Linked DNA regions of Oryctolagus cuniculus. The protein of the gene in region 6 interacts with the protein of the main gene of each other region in a pairwise test. Links are inferred from orthologs where the notes say so. Each region holds a gene or a part of one and is shown on either strand. Other genes may lie near its edges.

Evidence for each region.
Region 1: the proteins of PSTPIP1 (region 6) and PTPN12 interact in binary tests that used the Homo sapiens proteins (3 or more experiments, as listed by UniProt). The link is inferred for Oryctolagus cuniculus from reciprocal best matches to the Homo sapiens genes PSTPIP1 and PTPN12.
Region 2: the proteins of PSTPIP1 (region 6) and LSM4 interact in binary tests that used the Homo sapiens proteins (3 or more experiments, as listed by UniProt). The two-hybrid records come from large-scale screens. The link is inferred for Oryctolagus cuniculus from reciprocal best matches to the Homo sapiens genes PSTPIP1 and LSM4.
Region 3: the proteins of PSTPIP1 (region 6) and protocadherin beta-14 interact in binary tests that used the Homo sapiens proteins (3 or more experiments, as listed by UniProt). The two-hybrid records come from large-scale screens. The link is inferred for Oryctolagus cuniculus from reciprocal best matches to the Homo sapiens genes PSTPIP1 and PCDHB14.
Region 4: the proteins of PSTPIP1 (region 6) and TULP3 interact in binary tests that used the Homo sapiens proteins (3 or more experiments, as listed by UniProt). The two-hybrid records come from large-scale screens. The link is inferred for Oryctolagus cuniculus from reciprocal best matches to the Homo sapiens genes PSTPIP1 and TULP3.
Region 5: the proteins of PSTPIP1 (region 6) and CD2 interact in a two-hybrid assay, tested with the Homo sapiens proteins (2 studies listed by BioGRID and IntAct). The link is inferred for Oryctolagus cuniculus from reciprocal best matches to the Homo sapiens genes PSTPIP1 and CD2.

What each region holds. Positions count from the first base shown.
Region 1 is NC_091434.1:142,090,724-142,094,223, forward strand, and holds part of PTPN12 (tyrosine-protein phosphatase non-receptor type 12), read left to right. Parts: intron 1-892; coding exon 893-952; intron 953-2,601; coding exon 2,602-2,744; intron 2,745-3,500. UniProt on the Homo sapiens protein: Dephosphorylates a range of proteins, and thereby regulates cellular signaling cascades. Dephosphorylates cellular tyrosine kinases, such as ERBB2 and PTK2B/PYK2, and thereby regulates signaling via ERBB2 and PTK2B/PYK2.
Region 2 is NC_091447.1:65,595,513-65,599,795, forward strand, and holds the start of LSM4 (U6 snRNA-associated Sm-like protein LSm4), read right to left. Parts: upstream 2,801-4,283; 5' UTR 2,648-2,800; coding exon 2,645-2,647; intron 289-2,644; exon of another isoform or gene 113-288; intron 1-112. UniProt on the Homo sapiens protein: Plays a role in pre-mRNA splicing as component of the U4/U6-U5 tri-snRNP complex that is involved in spliceosome assembly, and as component of the precatalytic spliceosome (spliceosome B complex).
Region 3 is NC_091437.1:28,761,700-28,764,050, reverse strand, and holds the end of protocadherin beta-14, read right to left. Parts: coding exon 1,004-2,351; 3' UTR 501-1,003; downstream 1-500. UniProt on the Homo sapiens protein: Potential calcium-dependent cell-adhesion protein. May be involved in the establishment and maintenance of specific neuronal connections in the brain.
Region 4 is NC_091440.1:106,431,258-106,435,360, forward strand, and holds the start of TULP3 (tubby-related protein 3), read right to left. Parts: upstream 2,801-4,103; 5' UTR 2,726-2,800; coding exon 2,676-2,725; intron 1-2,675. UniProt on the Homo sapiens protein: Negative regulator of the Shh signaling transduction pathway: recruited to primary cilia via association with the IFT complex A (IFT-A) and is required for recruitment of G protein-coupled receptor GPR161 to cilia, a promoter of PKA-dependent basal repression machinery in Shh signaling.
Region 5 is NC_091438.1:53,714,333-53,717,940, forward strand, and holds the end of CD2 (T-cell surface antigen CD2), read right to left. Parts: intron 1,216-3,608; coding exon 902-1,215; 3' UTR 501-901; downstream 1-500. UniProt on the Homo sapiens protein: CD2 interacts with lymphocyte function-associated antigen CD58 (LFA-3) and CD48/BCM1 to mediate adhesion between T-cells and other cell types. CD2 is implicated in the triggering of T-cells, the cytoplasmic domain is implicated in the signaling function.
Region 6 is NC_091443.1:107,548,565-107,552,787, reverse strand, and holds the start of PSTPIP1 (proline-serine-threonine phosphatase-interacting protein 1), read right to left. Parts: upstream 2,801-4,223; 5' UTR 2,786-2,800; coding exon 2,570-2,785; intron 2,294-2,569; coding exon 2,193-2,293; intron 2,025-2,192; coding exon 1,950-2,024; intron 1-1,949. UniProt on the Homo sapiens protein: Involved in regulation of the actin cytoskeleton. May regulate WAS actin-bundling activity. Bridges the interaction between ABL1 and PTPN18 leading to ABL1 dephosphorylation.

The DNA.
Region 1 (3,500 bases), on a different chromosome or scaffold from region 6:
TTGTTGTTGTTGTTGTTTTCTTTTTTTAGAGATGTATTTTATCTATTTGAAAGAGTTACAGGGAGAGATAGAGACAGAGAGAAGTCTTCCATCTGCTGGCTCACTCCTCAAGTGGCTGCAACAGCCAGAGCTAAGCTGATCCAAAGCTAGAAGCTTCCTCACATTCTCCTATGAAGGTGCAGGGGCCCAAGGACTTGGGCCATCCTCCTATGCTTTTCCAGGCATATTAGCAGGAGCTGCATTGGAAGTGGAGCAACCAGGACTTGAACTGATGCCCATATGGGATGCCGGCACTGCAGGCTGGGGCTTGAACCAGCTGCACCACAGTGCTGACCCCTATTTGGAAAGATGAAAGTAAATTACTGTAGTTTTAAAAACTTAAAATGAATAATTGTAAGTATCTGTTTTATTGATAATGCACACTCTTGCTCTGTCTTGAAAGTCACTATCCTAAACTGTCTGTGGTTTAACTGATAAGGCAAAAAATAATATGCTTGGTGGCAACTGATGTAGAGGCTTCATTATAATACCTCAGATGACTGGCTTTTAGAATGATTAAATTATCAGCTGTGGTGTCGTGTTTTGGGATTTTCTTCCTCCTTCCTTTCCCAGTTGCTATCCAAATAATTCAGAGTTGATTGTTAGAGAAAATCAAATCCTATGGAAAGATAAAGTGATTAAATGTGAGATACAGTGGTAGGTACTGAGTGAGTGACTGTGGTATTTCTGTTACGGGATTGTGGGGATGATTACTACATAGCAAATGTCTTCATCAGTTTTGTAAAATTATAAATACAACTTAGATAAGTGAATTGATGGCTTTTAGAATTATTTTGTTTTTGTTTTGGTATGTATATATTTTTACTGATTCTCAGATCTTTCTCAATTTTAGGAAGATGAACAAGCAAGAACAGATTATTTCATTAGGACACTCTTACTTGAATTTCAGAATGTAAGTACTTTCCATTAAAGATAATCTCTTAAGGATACTTTCCAAATAGGAGATTATATATGAATAGCATACTATTTACATAGTTAAGAAAGCTTGGTAGTTCTTTAAGTAATGTAAAATACTGAAGAAGAAAATCACAGTGTATATTTTACGTAGTATGTTGAGCCTTATGCTTATCAAATTATGTAATAAAATAATTAAAATTTTAACTTAGAACAACATTCCTAAATTAAATTTGTTGTATTTAAAATAATTAGGCTTTCTTTGACACAATAAAGCAGGTTACAGTGTTTATATAATGATTACCCACTTTGACTAGTTTATGGATTTTTAGAAAGTTAACCATCAACATTTAGATACATGTTTTAACTTGAAGCCCTTGATTTCATTATGTCAGAACTGTATAAAATGATAGTTTCTCCAGAAAAGAATAAAAAATCTGATGGACATTAGAAAATACTTATCCTCATTGCTCTGTTTTTATCATAATTTTTAAACCATAATAAGTAGTTTAGTATGGCTGTGAAGTACATCCCTCTTCCCAACTCATGCATTCACACTTAAGGCCTCCTGTCCTGTTTATGTGTGTCCTCCCACCTGGCTTTACTATTTGGCTCCCTCTAGATGCATCACTTATTATACTTTGCTGCTATTTTTAAATCTATAGTAGTAAGGATGAGTATCTTAATGAATTTCTATAGTGTATCAGGTACCTCAATCCTCTTAACTTTGTAACAGTAGATATTATTATCTACATCGTATATAATCTTGTTACCTAACAAGACAAAGGCTTTGAAAAGATAAATAGCTTACCTAAAACTACTAATCAAATGGCAGGAAAATATTTGAGTAACTTTGCTTAAATCTCAAGCCCAATTCTTTCTGTTCAACACCTAGAATAACTGTTCTGAGAACAATTTTTACATCAGAATTCCCTTATATTCTTATCCGAAAGAGCTTTTGTTTATACAGGTTATATCTTTTAATATTTACTGGGATTAAAACTGAGAAATTTTTTAAAAACATGAAAACAAGCATATATTCCATTAGCTATTGAAGAAAAAAAGCAAATAACATGTTAGCATTTTTCTCAAAATAGTTTAGAACTCATGGCCACCCACCAGAAAGGGTTCCTAGACTATATTTCAAGAACTGCCGATCCATAGTAAGACAAATGGATTGAGGTTGGACAGATGTGCTTCTTTCTCTGTTTAATATTTACTTAGTCTTCTAATTACAGTATATTCTAACACAGTACTCATAGTATATTACTCACCAAGTTTAATAGTGTGTATTTAGTTAAATGGCGTATTGACAGTTAATGTTTACATTCTGAAGTTAAGGCCGCCTGGGTAAGATCCCACATTTGTCGCTTCTGTGATACTTTCAGCAAGTTGTTTCATCTTTCTGTCTCAATTTCCTTAACCCTGAAATGAGAATAGAATTAACAGTACCTTCCTTATGAGAATTGAATAAATTATTGCATATGACCTCCTTAAATAGGTAGTCAATATATGCAGGCTGTTATTGTTTTTAATGTGGTGCTTAGTACCTAACCAGATGTCTTAGATAAGTCAGTTAAGTGTGATATAAAGCTTTAAAATTGGCAAATATATTTTCATAACTGTTGGATTTCCATTTTTTTAAAGGAGTCTCGGAGGCTGTATCAGTTTCATTATGTAAACTGGCCAGACCATGATGTTCCTTCATCATTTGATTCTATTCTAGACATGATAAGCTTAATGAGGAAGTATCAAGAACATGAAGATGTGCCCATTTGCATTCATTGCAGGTATAAGTTTCCCAAACATTCAAATATAGTAGTTTTTTTTAAGTTTGATGTTGGTTTTATTTCTGCATTAATATAATGAATCCTGAATTTCTTCTATACGGTATGGGTCTGAGGCCTGTAATCTCATGGCTGATTATTTAAATGTTACATTAAAATGTAAGATCATCTATTTGAAAATGGTGGGATGCTTACTAATTAAAGCATGTAGTCTAATCAGTATCCATTATACCCTGCTTTTTAAAGTCAATACTGTAATATTTAGATTAACTAAGAAAGACAAAAGTACACAATAGAATTTTTTGTGGATAGATCAGTTTACCTCAAACAGTGGCCAAGCAAGTTTCATGTCTCATAAACATTGGTATGGGTTTTCTTATGTATATGGATGTACATACTTAAGATCTTAGTTGATCTAAAGTACCATCAGTTCTAAGACATACTAATGTTTTATATACACTAAGAATGAAATTGTCTGCCAATTAAAACAGAAATAGGTTGCTTGTAAGAAGCCATTAGTGATGATATAGATACTAATTTCAGAAATGTCATAATGTAGGTTTATTTTTTATTTATTTATTTTTAAGGGCGTTGTTGTTTTTTTGGTTTTTTGTTTCTTTGTTTTTCTTTTTTTTTTCTTTTCTTTTCTTTTCTTTTCTTTTCTTTTCTTTTTTTTTTTTTTTTTGACAGGCAGAGTTAGTAGACAGTGAAAGAGAGAGAGACAGAGAGAAAGATCTTCCTTTTTCCATTGGTTCACTC
Region 2 (4,283 bases), on a different chromosome or scaffold from region 6:
GAACATTCCAGAACACACGCAGGCCCGGGCCGAGCGGGGACGGCTCCACGCAGGGCCCATAGGCCGCGCCAAGACTTCAGGTCTACGCAAGGCCCGCTCTGCTCATTTTTACCAATAACCGCGCGGATTTACAGGGGTGTGCGCTGGGCGTCCTGGTCAGGGCGGCTGCGTCCCAGGCTGGGGGCCCCCGGGTAGGGCCCGCTCAGCTCCCCGCGCATGCGCGCCCTGGCTGGGAGCCCCGGGATGGCGCTCCGGGCTCTGGGGAGTGACTGCGCACGTGGGACCTCTCTCCCTCCCATAAAGTAAATAAATCACGCGCCTGGCTGGATGAGCCCAGCTGAGGTGCAGATATGACCGCATTCAGAAAGTTCACGGAGGAGCCTGGGGCCTGCAGGGCGCCCGTATCTCTGCCTTTCAAACAACTAAAGGCCGGGCCGAAGCCAGGGCCTCCATCCGGGTCTCCCGCGTGGGCGGTGGGGGCGGGGGCCCAGCGCGGGGCCCTCCCCTCCCCGCTGCCTCCCAGGCCCTCCGCAGGGAGCCGGTGCTCCCGGGATGCTGCGCCTGCGGGGGGCTCCTGGGCCACCCCCTGCCATGGTCTGGGGCCCTGGCCTGTGTGCGGAAGCGCAGGGACCGCGTCCGTCCCAGGGCAGCCCCCCGCCCCAGGGGAGCCGGCGGGCGGACAGCTGGGGGCGCTGTGGAGCTGAGCCCCGGCTCTGACGCAGCTCCTGCGCGGGGCACAGCTGAAGATGACCCAGTGCTCCGGTCACCGGGCCAGGGTGGGGTGGGCGTGACCTGTCCAGGAGGGACCCCCTCCGGGTCTGCCAGGGGCCGCGCGGGCGTCAGAGGACCTGAGTCTGCTCCAACCGGCAGGAACCCCCGCCCCACGCAAGGCGGCTCCGCCAGTGGGCGATGGCCTGCGCCCCCCAGCCTCCTGCGTGAGCTAGGAGGAGACCCCCCCCCCGCCGCGGGCCCTCCCCAGCAGCGCCCCTGGGGGAGGGGAGGCCGGGGGCAGCAGGAAGCCAGGCCCAAGCCCACTTCCTGCCCCGGCTTCCTGGAGGCCGGGCTCAGGAGGAAGAAGGGGCCACGTGGAGAGGGGGCGGCGGTGGGGGCGGGGCGGCCCCTGCTTGTCATCTGGATGCCGTGTGTCGCCAGCCACGCTGGGGCGCAGGGACACAGGGCCTCACGCTGGCTGGGGGTGGGGCTTCTCTCCCCGCCACAGGCACCTGGGCGCTCGCCCCGGCCCGTGACCCCGGCAGGTGGCAGCCACAGCCCCGGGGCCGCCTCCCTCCGCCCCCTGTCACCTCCCTGGGCCAGGCCCAGCTAATGGGCACCCTGGGGCGCGCGGCTGTTTATTTCATTATAGGCTGCAGCCGGCGTCTAATTATCGCGTGTGTTTATTACCTGTCTCCCCGGCTAGACTGGAAAACCCGCAGTGGGCGTGGAGGCTGCCCCCGCGGGAGGGCGCGCGGGCGCGGGGGCCAGGGTAAATATTTGCAGGAGGTTAAGGCAGCACCACCCCGGGCCCGGCGGCCGCCAAGGAAAGGGAGGAGCGGGAGCCACAGGTCCAAGGGGAGGAACTAGGAGCGCCCGCGCGGAGGGGCAGGCGCAGCCCAGGGCGCTTCGCTTCCCCGCAGACCGGCTAGGGACACCCGCGCCCATCCCGAGTCCCGGCTGCTCCACTTCCCGCCCAGCTCGCCGCTAACGCGCCTGGGAAAACAGTGGAAGATGGCCCAAGCGCTCGGGCCCCTGCACCTGCGTGGGAGACCCGGACGGAGCTCCTTGGGGCCCTGCACCTGCGCGGGAGACCCGGATGGAGCTCCTTGGGGCCCTGCACCTGCGTGGGAGACGCGGACGGAGCTCCTTGGGGCCGTGCACCTGCGTGGGAGACCCGGACGGAGCGCCTGGGGGGGCCGGCACCTGCGTGGGAGACCCGGGTGCAGCTCCTGGCCTGGCTCTGCCCCAGCCCCGAGCCGTCTGGGGCTTTTCTGCACCTGCCTTTCCCTCTCTTTCCAGTGCGTAAAAACCAAAGACAAAGACGACACCCAAGGGCTCCTAACTCGGGGCGACCCTCCGTGGGCGCCCCCACCCCAGGCCCCGCCCTGACCACAGGACTCCTGCACCCCTGGGCCAGGAAACTCGGCAGCAGGCGGAAGCTGGGGACTCCCAGGGGCAGTGCCCGCCAGCCGTGGTGGCCAGCCCCGCCGTCAGGCGTGCAGCGGGCGCCGGCCACCGGGCCCCGGCTCTGAGAAACGCACGGCCCCGCTTTGGGGACCCTGCCCTGGGCCGGAAGCCCCCAGCGGCACCCACGAGCCACAGTGCCCGACGGCGGGGTCCCCGCCCCCTCCGGCCTCAGTTTCCCCGTCTGGAAAGTGGACAGCGCGCAGCTGACCTGCTGAGCCTTGATTAACGGCGGCCCAGCCGTGAACCTCGGAGAACAACGTACTGGTGCCCCGGGCGAGGCACCTGCCGTCTCGGGTCAGTTTCCCCGGCTCGGGGCTGGGGGCGGGACTGGACGCTGCGCCCGCACGTCCGGAGCGCACCGCCCCGACCCCCACGGCCCAACCCGAAGGCCGCCGACGGCCGCGTGCCCACCCCCAGCCGCACCCCGCCTCCCGGTCAGACCCCGACGGCGCCCGGCCCTCACCATGGTGTCGGCGGGGACCGGGCTCCCCGGCCACTTCCGCCGCCGCCGCCGCCGATCACGCTGCCGCCGGTCGCCGCCCCGCCGCGCGCCACAAGCCTGAAAAGGAGTGGCAGGAGCGGGAGCCAGTCACCGCGGGGCGACGGGGACGCATAACCAATCCCCGGACAGAAGGGCGGGTCTTCGAAGCACGAGGGGGTGGGACTAACTTCCCGCCAGAAGAATCCGCGACGGAGCCGTAAAGTGCCGTGGCGAGTGATGCAAAAGGGGGCGGAGCAGCGCGCGCCGGCTGCATTGTGGGTAGCTGCGCATGCGCAGAGAGGAGCCGGTCCTGTCGCCCGGGCTCCGCGGTGTGGGCCGGGCCGTGATGGCGCCGGGTTTGCGTCTCGGTCTCGTTCTTGTGCTTGGTTGGAAGTGGGGCGGCCGGGACTCGAACCGGCGGCCCTTAGCGATGCTGGCGCAGCGCAGTCCCCGAACTAGCAGGTGACGTCAATGTGACGTCAGGTGTTTGCGGACTCGAGAGATCGGTTCCCCAGGTGAGCGTGTGGCCCGGATTTGAGGACGCCCGCGGACCAGATCCTAGTTTACTGGGTTCGAGTCCCGGCCCCGGCCACATCCCAGGGCCCGGGTTCGAGCCCCGGCCCCTGCCACATCCAAGGGCCCGGGTTCGAGCCCCGGCCCCTGCCACATCCAAGGGCCCGGGTTCGAGTCCCGGCCCTGGCCACATCTGAGCACCCGGGTTCGAAACCCGGCCCCGGCCCAGGCCATATCCGAGCGCCCTGGGTTCAAGTCCCGGTTCCATCCACATCTCAGCACCCGGGTTCAAGCCCCGGCCCTGCTGGACTGCGCACGCGGACGCTGGCCAGCAGCAGCCGTGGCTCACTGCTTGGGCCCCCGGCGACCCGGAAGGAGTTCCCAGCTCCTGGCTTTGACCTCACCTAGTGGAAGATTCTCCCCCGTCCCTGTGTCTTGCAAATAAACAAAAATAAAGTTTTTAAAGAATAAAAGGTGTGAAGAGAAAGCACACAGGAGAGAGTTTGTGGATTCTGCTTTTTTATTTTTGCCCCCAGATAACCTTAGCTTTCAAGCCCCCTCCCCCGCAGGCCCCGCGGCCCCGCCCAGGGCAGAGCCTGCCCCTCTCTGGAGTCTCCGGGCGCCGGGAGCGGGAGCGCACAGGCCCGGCCCCTCCTACGCGGGGGCCTGGGGCGCTGAAACCCAGGGTCTGCTGCGGCAGAGGCCCGGCCGGCGTAAGCTGGTTCGACGCTGGTTCGAGTCCCCTGGTTCGAGCCCCGGCTCTGCTCTGATGCCGCCAAGGCACCTGGGAGGCGGCGGGTAGGGGCTCTGCCTGTCAAATGACGGAGGGGGGTTGGGGGGAGAGCTTCTGCCCGCTGGTTCCTCCCCAGACGGCCGGTCCGGGCCAGGCTCACGCTGGGTCTCGCAGGTCCACCTGCGGCCGCCCAGGGTGCGCATGCGCAGGGAGCTGGCGGTAGGTCCGGGCCAGGCTCCATCCGGGTCTTGCAGGTCCACCTGCTGCCTTTGGGACCCGCCCCACGCGGGATCCAGCCCCGGGCTTCTCCCGACGGCGGAACCGGCGGGTGTGGGCTTGGGTGGGGGCCCCGTTCGGCCCCACAGCCTCGTAGAA
Region 3 (2,351 bases), on a different chromosome or scaffold from region 6:
TTCATGAAGTTATTCAGGATGAGACCATGAACTATTATCTGTTTTAGTAAAGAAAAATCTAAATACAAATTTAAATGAGTAAACACGGCTGGTGGCTGGCATTCTGGCATAGTTAAGCCATTGCCTGCAGCGCCAGCCTCCCATATGGCTACAGGTTCAAGTCCAGGTTGCTCCACTTCTGATCCAGTTCCCTGTGAATGTTCCTGGGAAAGCAGCAGAAGATGGCCCAAGTGCTTGGGCCCCTACACTCACACAGATCTGGATGGAGTTCCAGGTTCCTGGCTTGGGCCTGGCCCAGCCCTTGCTGGTGGTGAATATTCTTTCTCTCCCTCTCTCTGTAACTGCCTCTCAAGTGAAAACATAAATCTATTAAAAATGAGTAAATCTGAAATATTTAAAGAAAACAATATAGCAATACCAAAGCACAGAATATTGTAATACTCCTCACAAGCATTAAAAACAACAAAAATACTTAAAGAAAAAACCACTTAAGAAATCGATCACTTACAATGTAATCACTTTAATTTTCCTACAACATGAATTCTTGAAAAATAACTTTCTCCAGAACTCAAAAAGAGGCGATAGTATGTTACATTTATGATGAAAAATTTTAGAAAACAGTGCAATAAAACCAATATTCTTTGTACTCATTCAACATTTTTATTTCTGATTTGTCTGTTTTGATGGTGTGTATAAGTAAATTAATAATGACATTTAGTCTTAATACTTTAGGTTCCATATCCAAATAATTAAAAATATTGTCTTGCACAACAATATCACTATCATAGCAAGAAGCAGTAGTAATTTGATTAATACACTTTTGACTAAATAAAAACCCAGAAAGCACGGATGCACAGTTATTAAATGAGTTCTAAAGAAACTCTGAAGACAGCATAAGAAATACTGCATGCAACTACCAGATGATATAAAATGCATTAAAGTTTAGACAAAAAAAATCAGCAGTTTTACGAGAATAAAAGATTAGAAGTTTAAAAATATTATCTTATTGAATGTTGAATCCGAAGCTATTACGGAAGTTTTCACTTTCTTCTATATTCCTACCAACGTCAGAGACTTGAAGATTGGGGCTAATGGGCTTCATGAACTTGAACTCCCCGGTCCCAGCGTCGCCCGTCAGGCGCACCTCGTACTGGTAGCTGTGCGACAGCGTCCCGCCGCCGCTCACGTCCAGCAGCGGCCCCGGGAAGCGGCCCTCCGCACCCGCGCCGCCGCCGCCGCCGCCAACCGCACACCCCGCCCCCACCCCGCCCCCGCCCCCGCCGCACAGCCGCGCCGCCACCAGCGCCAGCACACTCAGCACCAAGAGCGACGACACCGCCGCCAGCGCCACCACCAGCTGCACCGTGAGCGAGTCGGGCCGCGCCGCCTCGGCCGCCGCCGCCGCCTCGGGCAGCGCCAGGTAGGGCTGCGAGAAGCCGTCCACCAGCAGCACGTGCAGCGTGACGCTGGCCGACAGCGGCGGCTCGCCGTGGTCGCGCACCAGCACCAGCAGCCGCTGCCTGGGCGCGTCGCGCTCGCTCAGCGGCCGCGCCGTGCGCACCTCGCCGCTGTGCGCCCACACGCCGAACAGCCCGGGCTCCGTGGCCTTGAGCAGCTCGAACGACAGCCAGGCGTTCTGGCCCGCGTCGCCGTCCACCGCCACCACCTTGGTCACCAGGTAGCCCGCGTCGGCCGCGCGCGGCACCAGCTCGGGGCAGGCGGCCGAGCCGTTGGCCGGCGGGTACAGCACGGCCGGCGCGTGGTCGTTGGCGTCCAGCAGCTGCACGCGCACGCGCGCCTCGCTGCTCAGCGCCGGGGAGCCGCGGTCGGCGGCGCGCACGCCGAACTCGAAGGCGCGCAGGGCCTCGTAGTCCAGCGCGCGCAGCGCGTACAGCTGCCCGCTGTCCGCGTGCACCGACACGAGCGCCGCCACGTCGGGCTGCTGTGGCGGCGGCAGCAGCGAGTAGGTCACCTGCGCGTTGGCGCCCGCGTCCCTGTCGCTGGCGCTCACGGAGCCGATGAGCAGCCCGGGGCTGTTGTTCTCGCGCACCAGCAGGGTGTAGGCGGCCTGGCTGAAGGCCGGGGCGTTGTCGTTCACGTCGGACACCTGCACCGCGACGTGGTGCCGGGTGGTCAGCCTGGGCGTGCCCAGGTCGGACACGGTGATGGTGATGTTGTACTCGGCCCTGGCCTCCCTGTCCAGCGCTCCATCGGTTACCAGGGTGTAGAAGTTCTTGAAAGTGGGCTTCAAAAGGAAGGGGAGGTCATCCTGAATAGAGCAAACCATCCTTCCGTTGTCTCCAGAGTCTGGATCTCGGACACTGAAGATGGCGACAAGAGTCTCTGGCGTG
Region 4 (4,103 bases), on a different chromosome or scaffold from region 6:
TTCCAATGCTCACCAAACCCGGTGGTCTGCGGGTAACCTGTGCTCGTTAAAACGCACACAACGCCCGGCTTCAAGCAAATCTGGAGTGTTGCTCCCGGCTCGGTCTCCAAGCCTCACGAAATATGTTAGAGGAGGGAAACAGTTGAAGCGTACTTGTTAATAATTCTTCCGCTCTGTTTTTCCATGAGGCGGATTTCTTTTCAACAGTCACAGAGTTCAGAGAAAAATAAAATCACTGCAAAACTAAAAGATGCTATCCTCACATAAAGTATTAATACTGAAAACTTATCAATGTATTTCATCAAAAGGACACGGAACACACAACCTGAAGCCCAACAGCAAAAGACACGCACTCCCTTTGGACAAGAGACGGATGCAACAGTGGCTACAGCAGCGAATGCTACAGTGGCAGAAGCTGCACTAACATTACCCAGCCCAGCAAACACACTCAGGGACTCACACGTTCCCCTTTGATGTCAGTTTTAATAAGCAGCTGGTTTCTCTAGGAAGAAAAAGAGGGGAGAAACTTTAAATTTACATCTTTAAACTTCAGGTACAATAAAAAAAATTTTTTGCCTCCTGGCTCTAATTTCCAAGTCCACCTCATTTTCTTTTTCTTGTTCAAACATCATGAGTCATATCAAACATCTGGTGCTCACGAAATTTACTGCTTTAAATTCAACTGAAAACTGACCGTCCACAACTGAACAAGTGCCATCTCAATTCAGAGAAACTGAGTGCTGACTTCATCTCTACACAGCATCTCCATACCTGTATTTGAAAATGTAGATTTTTTCTTTTCCTCTTGACTTGGAGGGGAAAAAAGCAACAACGAATGCAGCCATCACAAACAGGACTCATTCGGGGAGGAAAACGGGGGCTCTCTCCCTGAGCGCCTCCTCTGTGACAGCTTTTTTTTTTTTTTTTTTTGGCAGGCAGAGTGGTCAGTGAGAGAGAGAGACAGAGAGAAAGGTCTTCCTTTTGCCGTTGGTTCACCCTCCAATGGCCACTGTGGCCAGCGCGCTGCGGCCAGCGCACCACGCTGATCCGATGGCAGGAGCCAGGTACTTATCCTGGTCTCCCATGGGTGCAGGGCCCAAGCACTTAGGACATCCTCCACTGCACTCCCTGGCCACAGCAGAGAGCTGGCCTGGAAGAGGGGCAACCGGGACAGAATCCGGCGCCCCGACCGGGACTAGAACCCGGTGTGCCGGCGCTGCAAGGCGGAGGATTAGCTTAGTGAGCCGCGGCGCCAGCCCTGTGACAGCTTTTAAAAATGATTCAGAATCATCTAAACGTCTACTAGTTAAGCACCAGACTAAACCCTCAAATGCCAAGTGTTCGTTTGCCGTGGTAATGGAATAAAAGGCTGGGAACAGGCAGGACTGGCCAGTAGGATCTGAATCTTCAGACGGGAGGGCCAAAGCTTTAAGCCGCACTGCTCCTTGTTAACTTTTCATTAGCCTCGTCAACAAGAAAATCCACAGGCTGAGGTTCGGATTCTTTCCTTTCCCGGGCTTTCCCTCCGGCAGGGGCAGGAACGGGGGAGGGCACAAAGTCTAGAGTACATCAGAAAACAAGGCAGAACATCCCGCTTGAGAGGCAGCCACGGGAAAGCAGGGGGAAGAAAATCCAGTTCCCCATTTTCAGCCTGGCGACTCCCTTCCAGAACTCAGCACTGCCTGCCAAAAGCAACGGCGGTGGAGCAGATGACTAAATATCACCCTCAACCTCCGCCTGGCCTCATCGCGGGAAGTCTTGGTGGCTCCTCGGCTGAGACATGGAGGGGCAGAGCAGCCAGAGACGGGGGCCCGGCGGAGCAGGGATGCAACCACGCTGAAGCCCCCTTTCTAGTCCTTGTCGTATTCAGATGAACACAAGCTACCTGCTGAGTTTGGGACTAACTACACTGCGCATCTGCTCTCACACACACATTGCACTCGCTTGTGAATCCCAGAAAGCGGCCTTGGCGAAGCCAGCTGAAGTTGCAAAGCAATGCATCCCTCCGGGCCAACACAACCAGAGAAAGTCACTGAACTGAATTCACCCTGACAGAATGCAAAGGGGTTACTAGGAGCACAGCCCAGCAGCCGCTCTTTGCTGAACGAACGGGCTTCACCTGGGCGAAGGAGCCAGGGAAAAATCTCTTTGACAGGATACCTGGCCTCCTTCTCAGCTGTACAGAACATCCTGCCACGCCCTCCTGATAAATCCAAGCCATCAACTTCGGAGACTTATAAAATACCCTGTTACCTTGGGCGCCCTGTGCTCCTGACCAGCCAGCGGCCACGTCCTCCCTAACACCCCAGACCCAGGACGGCTGTTCTTGAATCCACGGTCTGCTACCCTCCTCATCCACTAGTGCATTAAACTTCTCCCCTTCATCTTCAAAACTTGTCCCCCCCGCGGCGTGGACGAGGACCCCGCACTGGGTAAACGAGGCCAGCTTCTCAAGAAACTCCAGGAGCCCGAGCGGCGACCTGCACAAAAAGCCCTCTCTGGGTACCGAGGGTCTGCGAGCCCGCGCTCCCCGACGCCCGCCTGTCCGAATCTGAGGGTCCCAGGTTGAAAGCGGGGAGGGGGCGCGCCGCCCCCGCCCGACGCCCCGCCCTCTCCCCCGGAGCCTCCGCCCTCGTCCCTCTGTCCGCTCCACGGGAGACCAGCCTCGTGCGTGCCTTTCCGACCTGTACCCGTGGGGAGCCAGTCCACAGCGCGACGCCTCCATGGCCGGCTCTCCGGAACGGCAAGCAGGGGCAGACCCCCAGACGCCGCTGCTGGGGTGGCAAGTCTGGCCGGCGGCCGGGCCCCGCCCCCTGGCAACCACACCCCGCACTGTCGCCGGCGCCCATTGGCCCTCGCGCCGGCCGCCCCTCTCTCATTGGATTCCTAAGGGGCGGGAGGAGCCCGGGAGTTAAAGGCGCCTGCGCCAGGGCGGGGACGCGGCGCCGGGGCTGGATCCCCTGGAGCGCTGGGCTGGGCAGGCACTGAGCGCCGGATGTGTGGGCGTCCGCCGGGCGCCTGGGCTCCCTGCAGCCGACAGGGGCGTCCGCCCGAGGAGCAGCCCACCCCCACCTTGCGCCACCCAGGGAGCGGCTTCGGCCTCGCAGCCGCGTGCATTTGCAGACCCTTGCGCCGCCCTCGCCTCCGTAACCCACAGAGAACTGCTCCAGCTCTTCCCTGGTGCACAGAGGACAGGAGAGGATGTTTCCGTCCCCCCCCCCCCCATTTCCTGGGAACCAACTACTCTCTACCAAGGCTGGGGAACTATCACTTGGTCCGGCCCTGCCAAGGCAGCTGCAGGCGGGACTCGTGGAGCAGGCTAACTTTTAAGTTGGTAATGCTCCACGGCCCACGGAGATGTTACAAATTTCCAAATGGCACTCGGCAGAAAAGAGTTCCCAACCCCTGAAGTTGTCTCCGTGGCATTTCCCATCGTCAGCTGTTTGCACATGGGTTACATCTTTAGGAGGGGCTGGCACCGTGGAGCAGAAGGTGAAGCGGCCACTTGCAAGGCTGGCGTCCTCTAAGGAAAGCCTGCTGGAATCCTGGCTGCTGCAGTTCTGATCCAGCTCCCTGCTGTTCTGCCTGGGAAAGCAGCAGCTGATGGCTCAAGTGCTTGGGCTCCAGCCACCCACGTGGGAGACCTAGATGGGGATACTGGCTCCTGGCTTTGGCCTGGAACAGCCCTGGCCAGTTTGGTCATTTGGGGAGTGAACCGGCAGACGGAAGTTGTCTCTCTCTCTCTCTCCATCACTCTGCCTTTCAAGTAAACAAATCTTTATTTAAAAAAAATTTAAAGGCATAGATCTTGGCACAAACTAACAGCAGAGCATTGAACTTACTGTGTGACCATAAACATGGCTCACTCTCTGGGCTTCAGATTCCCACCTATAAACAGAACACCTGCTTGGTCCAGCTGGGACTGCACCTGACACAGTGTAGGCTCCTGAATGCTCAGTGAATGGGGCTTAAATGAGATGCTACTTGCATAACCCACGTGACACTTTGTTGACTGGGCAAGCCTGCATTAGCTCCAACAGTATTCAAAAAGGTCCACGTTTATGTATACACCGTTATTATAAGAAACCATTTTCCTACCCTTA
Region 5 (3,608 bases), on a different chromosome or scaffold from region 6:
GCATGACACCAGTATCTCAAAGCAGCTGCCTGTCCCCCGCCTGTTTCAGAACTGCAGCTGAAAACTCTTTGCTCCGCGTCCCCCAAAAGACGGGCTCCGCTCCTCCAGTCCTGGCCCTTTACAACACGCAAGGGTGTGATTCAATGCGGCCGTCCCCCGGCAGGCCCTTCCGCGTGGCACCGCCAGGACCCGGGGCCCCTCCCCTTCCAGGGACAGCTCTGCAGAGCACTGTGACCACGCCCAAGCTGCTAAGGAAGTGAGGCCCAAACCTATGGAGATTGGTATGGAGCATTTTCAATACGATACACAAATCTACAAACCAGTTTTTGGGGGCCCAGCTTTGGAGTGGAGGCCTGGGGGGAGCAGCACATTGTGACCATGCTGCTGGGCACTGGACGAATGGGGTCGGCCAAAGCTGATGCTTCTGTCACCACCGAGCCTCCTCCCCAGCTTCCTCGCCACGGCGCTGAGCTCCCTTCTACAGCGAGCAGGCACAGGGGTGAAACCAAAGCGTTTATTTCCCTTCTGCTCACAGGACAGCGAGCGAGCGTCCACCAGGACACAGGAGAGAGGACCTCAAGCACACGGGGCTCCCTTTAGGGAGCCCCAGGCCCCACAGTCCCCCAGCCCGCCCTAGCATGCTCGCACGCGGTCTGGAGGGAGACCAGGAGAGCACTAGACCAGCTGGGTCCTCACAACCACAATTCGAGTTTGTCCCTTTCTAGGGCGGCCGAGTGCGACCAGGAGACCAGTGGCTGCAGACGGCAGCCTGAGCAGCCCACGTGGCTGAGGCCCACGAGCCTTGGGAGTCGGTGACGTCGTGCGTGCAGGGACCACCTGATGGCGGTGTGGCCACGCCCCCCAGAGCGGAGAAATCCACGAAGGGAAAGGTCCATTTCTTCTAATTAGAGGAAGGAGCCAATGAGCTTTCTGCAGTCCCTTGGGGAGGTTTTGGTTGAACTCGGGGTCTGGGGAGGGGAGGGCCTCTCTGCTGGTGACCTTGCGTGCCCGACGGAGGCGGCCTCTTCTGCTTCTGGTGCTGGGCACGGTGGGCAGGAGGCAGGGGACGATGCCCAGGGGCCTGGGAGCCGTGCCCAGGTGGTGGGGGAGGTTGGGCAGCTGCTGGATTTGCAGGCGTGGAGGCTGGAATTGGAGGGAGCTTCCGGGCCCTTTCCTCGGTCGCTGCTCTCTGCGCTCTCATCTCCTGCTGCTCGTCTGCAACAACAGAACACCAGCATGCCAGCTGCCCTGGGCACGCGCTGTGCCAAGAGGAGGAGGAAGCGGAAGCGGCCCCTCCCATCCAGCCGAGCCTGCCAGCTCTCGCAGGAGAGACAGAAAAGCTCACCACAGGTAGAGCGAGAGCCCAGGGAACCGGAGAGAGGAAACGCACACGTGGAGGCTTTGTGTTGGGGCTCCGGGAGCAGAGAGCACCATCAGACCCCGGGGCCCTGCCTCCGTGCCACCCCTGGACTGCACCCGCAGTGATGAGATCCGATTGGCTACAGGGCACATGAGCAACTGTATCTCTCCCGTTCTGTGTCAGCCCTGCTCCCACCCCCTGCCTGCTGTCAGGCGGCCCCCATTCTGGGGAGAGGCTGGGACACACACAAGGCTTTGTAGTCCTTGGGAACCTTCCTCATCCCTCAGAAAGTCATGGCCCAGCCTCTCGGGCTTGGGAAGGAAGTAATCTCCCTTCTCTTCGCTCACTGGGATGTTCTGCCTTGTAGGACGTCAGACCACACCGAATAGAAATGTAGTTGTTGCAGTGCTGTTACAAACTCTACGGGAACCCTTAGGTGCTCAGCGCCCATAGGCCTGCCCCCTCTGGCTCCTTCAGGCTCCCAGTTAGGTTTCCTGTGCCCCTGCCCAAGGCCACCCTTGCAGCAGCTGCAGTGGGGGGGGGGCCAGGAGAGAAGTGGTGTGAATCTGTGGGTAAGCGAGTGATGTTCATTCATTCATCTTTACGGGGCTGTGCGTTCGGGCGGCACGGTCCCGCCTTTGCATCCCCCTGTAACTGGGGGCTGATGCTATCAATCCAACTGCCTCCGACCGCTGCAAGTGCAAGCCCCAGCCGCTTTGACTCAAACCAGGCCCTGTGGCTCTGACAGCGGAGCGGCCCACCTGCTCTAAGCACAAAGAGAAAGGCACAGGAGAGATAAAACACAGCCTGGGTGCCACCTCCGGTGCCTTGGGGAGGCTGGGGTGGTGTCTGGGAGGTCCCAGGTCCCAGCTGTGGAGCAGTGGCAGTCCTTCTCTATCCCCATCCCCCAACCCCATTCTGTTCATTTGTTCTGCCAACATGTGTGCCTCCTCCGCCAGGCGGTAGGTGCCATTGCCAGGGGCAGCAATGACTCAGACACAAACACTGTCCTCAGGAAGCCTAAACTCAAGGAAGCAATGAACCAGGCCTGCGAATCCCAAAGTCCGTCTCTGGGAAGAGCTCAGGGCCACCAAAGAAGTCTAGACAAAGAACCATGCGAGTGCGGGCAGATACAGTGGGCTGTGGGCAAGTGGCTTGATTGGACACACATGGCGGGCACGGCTCTGTGAGACCTGCCTGGTCCCCTAACAGCAGCACCTTCAGCCACTGTCTAAACACCTGCTCCAAGGACCTCCTCCAGGCTCTTCATTTGCATATCCTGGCTGCTCAATCCAGGGCCAGGACTAGGGTGAGACAAGCAAGGCTTGAGGCATAAAACTTAAAGAAGCACCCATTCCTCAGGGTCATGCAAGGGCAGGACAGGTCTGAGGATGAGGACCTCCTTAAATTCTGCTCCCTGGGCTCCTTGCCTCATTGTGGTCCTGGCTCTGCCCTTCTGGCTGTAGGATTTGGGGCAAATACTTAGTCTCACTGGGTTCAAGTTTCTGCCCCTGCAATAATATTATCTGCCTGCTAAAATCACTCTGGAAGTGGGATGAGATCATGTATGGGATGACAAAACACAGAGGTCGCTAGTGCAAGGCACAAGCAATGGGTTAAACTGAGCATCACAGTGGTCATTCGGGTCTGATCATGGCAGACAGCGCCTGTCTTGGAGTGAGGTGGGAAGTCTGCCTTGGGAGGACATGTGGTCAGTCTTTGAGTATTAGATGATGAGAAGGGGGCCTCTGTGTGTGAGTGTGTGTGTGTGTGTGTGTGTGTGAGCAAGGCACTGAGGTGAGGGAGCCTGGGAACCAAGGGCTCAGCCGCTGCGGCTGTTCCTTCGGGGTAGAGAGTGAGGCGGCAATGGCAGTAGGAAGGATGGCTGTTAAGCTTAGAAAGTTCTCCCACGGCTTGGGCTGGGGACAGTGCAGGTTAGGGATGTGGGGACAAGGGATGGCAGCCTAAAGAGGTAACTGAGGAAAGAAGCATGACATAAGGAAGCCAAATTCCAAGGGCACAGAGCCCAAGGCCACCACGGCTCAGGTAAGGTTAGACCGGGTCCACAGGCAGTGCTAGAGGTAGCCAGTGAGGGTGTGCCGAGCCCACTTTCTGGAAAGGCCTGGAGCAAGCAAACCCAGCCCTGCTGCTGCATGTGAGAATACACAGGGGCCCAGGGACCTGCTAGCTCTCCAGCATGACCTGCCTATGGCCGACGCCCCCATCCCAGCACCCACGGTGACACCTG
Region 6 (4,223 bases):
GACCCTTGAATCTGTGTTTAACTCCTGGATTCCTCCCCCCGCCCCCAACACACACACCCCGGTCCAGGACACGGCACACAGTCGGCGCTGCGTAAGTGCTCGCGGACTCCATGGGCAAACAGTGCCTGCCTGGCCCACAGGTGAAGAACGGGAAGGGTACGTGGCCTCACAGCAGCACTTACAGAGCACCGACTGTGTGCAGTTAGCTGAGCTGGGGCCCCTGGGGGGGAGCTGCGGGGGGCTCAGCTCCCGCACTGTCAGTGGACCCTGGGCTTGCCCTCCTCCTATGGCAGGAGCACCCCCAGACCCTGCCTCCCCCAGAAGTGCCTCCCCCACCCTGCTCCGCCCTTGCACCTGCTCCTCTGGCCGCCCAGTGCAGATTTCCCCACACCTCTCCCCACCTGCCCTGAGGCCTTGGGGGCTGGGCTGAGGGGCCGCTCAGGTTCTGATGCTATGGCCGAGCCCCCGCACCTGGCACCCCCAGCCCAGGCTCCAGTCCCCTCCCTGCCTGGGTGCAGCCTCTGGATTAAAGCCCCACCCCCTACTCCCAGCCTCCAACTCCCTGTGCCACTTCCCCCAGTCCCAAAGCAAATGGCCAGGGTGCCCAGCCAGGCCCCCAGCCACACACCAGGAGGTGGGGTCTGTGAGCCGTGAGGACCCCATGCCTGCGAGGTGGGGTCTGTGACTGCCTGGAGCAGCCCGTCCCAGGCAGGGACCCAGATCTCGGAGAGGGTGTGACCACCCCAGGGCCACCCAGTAATGAGTCAGCGCAGACCCTGCCCCAGGCAAGCCCACGGCCTCCACACTTTAGAAACGGTCCTGAGCCCCTTTGCAGCTCCTGCCCCCACCCCCCGGGTCTCTGAGCGACCTCAAGCCTCCGTGCCACCGTCCCTGGTGACTCACGGCCCCCTGGGGAACTCTCCCGGGCCGCCTCCGCAGTCCCCCGCCTCCCCTCCCACGGGCCCACCCCCTTTTTCCAGGAAAGTCCATGTTCCCCAGCTGGCCTGGGAGGCACAGGCAGCAGGGATCCCACACACCCCTCCCCCAGCCAGGTCCCACAGGCCTTCCTGCCCCGCTCTGCACCCTAAGGGAGCCACAGGGCAGCCCGCTGAAGCGGGCAGATGAGCACCGACTCAGAGAGGTGGAGCGTCTTGCCCAGAGCCACACAGCACGGCCCCTCTGGGCACTGGACAGGAGTCTCCCCTGGCTCATGCAGCTTTAAATCTCCCACCAGCCCTTCCGTCTCTGTTCCGGCTCCTAGTGGGGCCCACCAGGGTCCCTGTCTCGAAACAGGGTCGTACGCTTGGGTCTGTCTCTTGGGCGTGGCCAGGCACGTCGCAGGCCTGACCACCAGGGAAGCAGGGGTGAGGGACGGGGTTGCTACGGCAGCTGCTGGCCCCTGGGCAGGGGGAGAAGTTGGGGCGCCCAGCTGGCCCTCGCCCAGGAGCACCTGCGCCTTCCAGGAGCAGCCCCAGGCCAGGACGACCCCTTCCCGCTGAGGTCAGCCGCTCCGGGCCCTGTCCCGCAGGCTGTGGGGGCCTCGGACCACAGGGAGGCCCAGCAGCTTCAGACAGCCCTGCCCCCACCCCGAGCCACACCCACATGGCCCCCGAGGAGGGGCTGCAGTATTGCTCCATCACAGTGTGCGTGGCCAGCCCAGGTCACACAGCAGGCGTGCGGAGAGCTGGCACGGGAGCCAGTGTGTCCCCAGCCCCGAGTCCTGGCCGCACATCCACCCTGGGAGCCCGGCCGAGCCCGTAGAGGGCTGGCGCCTGCCTCTCAGGACTGGGGCTGCACACGCAGGCGCCCAGGGATCAGGGCCCTCCAGCCTCCAGTCCCTTGGGGCTTCTTCCCTGCACACGGTGCTCCAAGGAGGGTCCCCTGCCCCAGGAGGCCCTGCGCCCGGTCTGAGGCCCAGGACGGCCAGCGAGGGCTGCGGGAGCGCTCACTTGATCTCCGTCTGTCCGCCGGCCTTCCGTGCGATCTGCACCAGCTCCTTGCCGTAACGCTCCTCCGCCTGGGCCCTGCAAAAGCCAAGCACGTGCCGTCGGGCCCCCAGGACGCCAGCCGCCAGCGCCCCACCCCTGGGGCCTGGAAACAACCGTGGGCCAAACCCAGGCAGCGGTGCAGGGCGGCCTCACCCTGGCTTCTGTGAAGCAGGGGTGTGGGGGCGCCTCGCTCCCCCCGCTCACCTCTGCCGCAGCAGCTCCTCCACGTCCTTGCACATCTTCCTGCCGTCCAGCAGCCGCTGCAGTAGCACCTCGTAGCCCGTGTGCGCCGTGAAGTCCCTGCACTGACACAGGGCAGGGCGGGGGCGCAGTGAGGCCCGGAAGGCCCCCCACTCTCCCCACATCGCCCCGCTGAGACGACCAGGTGGCATCAGGACCTAGAGAGGCTCAGGAGCACAGTGAGCGGGGCCGCTGTGCCTGGGGACACGGCCCGGCCCGGGAGACCTCAGCTCCACCTGCAAATCCACCCCCCCAGGGGGTGCCTGGCACGGCCCGGATGCCCCCCCCCCCAGCTCCATAGCCCTGTTGACTTGGCTGAGCCGCAGGGAAGCAGCCCTTACCTGGGGAGACCCAGCCTGGAAAAGCCAAGGCCCGACCTTGAAGCCAGGCCGGGGAGCTGGCACCAGCGGGCTGGCCCCTGGGCGGCTCACGTGAGCCTGACTGCATGTTGCGGCTCGTGCCAGCCCCCTGCGCCTGCCAGGTGAGGCGCGCACGCTGAGCGCCTGAGTCCATGTTCTCCGTGGGCGGGGTGGGGCAGGGCGGGCGTTTGGATGCATCGCGATGAGGAGGGAGCAGCTGTGGCCACCCAGCACCTGTGACAACCCAGCACCTGCAGGCAGCCTGGGGCTGATCTGCTGTTGCTGGAAACTGTCCCAGGCCTGGGCAGAGGGTCCTCCTAGCTCCCCTGGTGCAGCCCAGGCAGCCCGTCCCAGGGACCGGCCATGGATCCTGGACGCTGGCTGGGTGCCGGGCAGGGCAACTGTGGCACCTGTTGCCCATCTTACTGTGGCCGCCGGATCCCAACCCCATTCCCAAAGCGGGGCTCTCGCAACCCCACGCCCTTTCCTGCTTCACCGTCAAAACCTGGCGCTCCGGCCTCCACCCAGCACTGGCCCCTCGAATTACGGGCCTCTGGGGAGCAGGCCACAGAGCCAGAGTCCAGGGGAGCTTCCTGCAGGAGGCGGCACTGGGAGGCGCAGACGGGGACAGGGGAGCAGTCATGGTGCAGAGGGTCCCACCGGCCCCTCCGGCCAGGCCAGACCCACCCTCAGCAACTCAGGACCTCAAGCTCTTGTCCCCTCCGAAAGCATCCCCAGAAATTCCTGGGGGGGGGGGGCCTGGCTGGGGCTCAGCTGCCTGCAGGGCGACAAGAGGTTCCTGGGCCTGTCCTAGAGCCAGTGTCCACCCCCCACCCCGTCCAGGCTGGGCCGGCTTCCCTGGGCGGGCCACAGCCTCCCATGCTCAGCCCCTGCCCTGCCTCCGGCCCCCCGGGTCAGAGCCTGTGGCAGCCGGCGAGAAAGAGCCACAGACCTGCCTGCTCCCTCCCGCGAGGGCTCCTCCGGACCTGGGCATCCAGCTCAGAATCCCCCTGACCGGACAGCTGGGCAGCGTTGGTGCAGGGCCCCTCAGTCCTGGGGAAACTGAGGCCCAGAGAAGGGCAGGGGTGGCCCCAGCAAGATCTGCTCTTCCTGCTCCGAGTCCTCTCCCCTCCCGGCCACACCCGGCCCAGCCCTCCAGGGAGACCCCCAAAGTGGGAAGAAGCCAGAGCAAACCTACAGCGGCCATTCTGCTGGGGCCCTGCAGGCAGGCCCTGGGGTCCCCAGGAGCACGCAGCCTGCAGCCTGCAGGATCCTGGTGTGCAGCCGATGAGCCACGGTCACAAGTGACCAGGCTGTTCGGAGGAAGTGCCTGCCCACCCCCGGCCCCGCCCCGCACCTCCTCCACCACCCCCGCCCCTTACCCAGCCACCTCTGACTCTGCTCCGAGCTCAGTGCGCTGGGAGATTCTAGCCTGGCGATCGTGGGCAGGTGCACTGCACCTGGGCCCTGCCCCAGCCGCCACCCGGCACCCTCGGCCTCTGTCACGGGAACCCGGCTGTGACACCCATGGAGACACCCACTGCCCCCCCCCCCAGCACAGCGGCCGCAGAGCCAGGAGCAGAGGTGGTGACCAGGAGGAAGCTCTGGGCCGCTCTCTGGCCTGGTCCAGCACGTG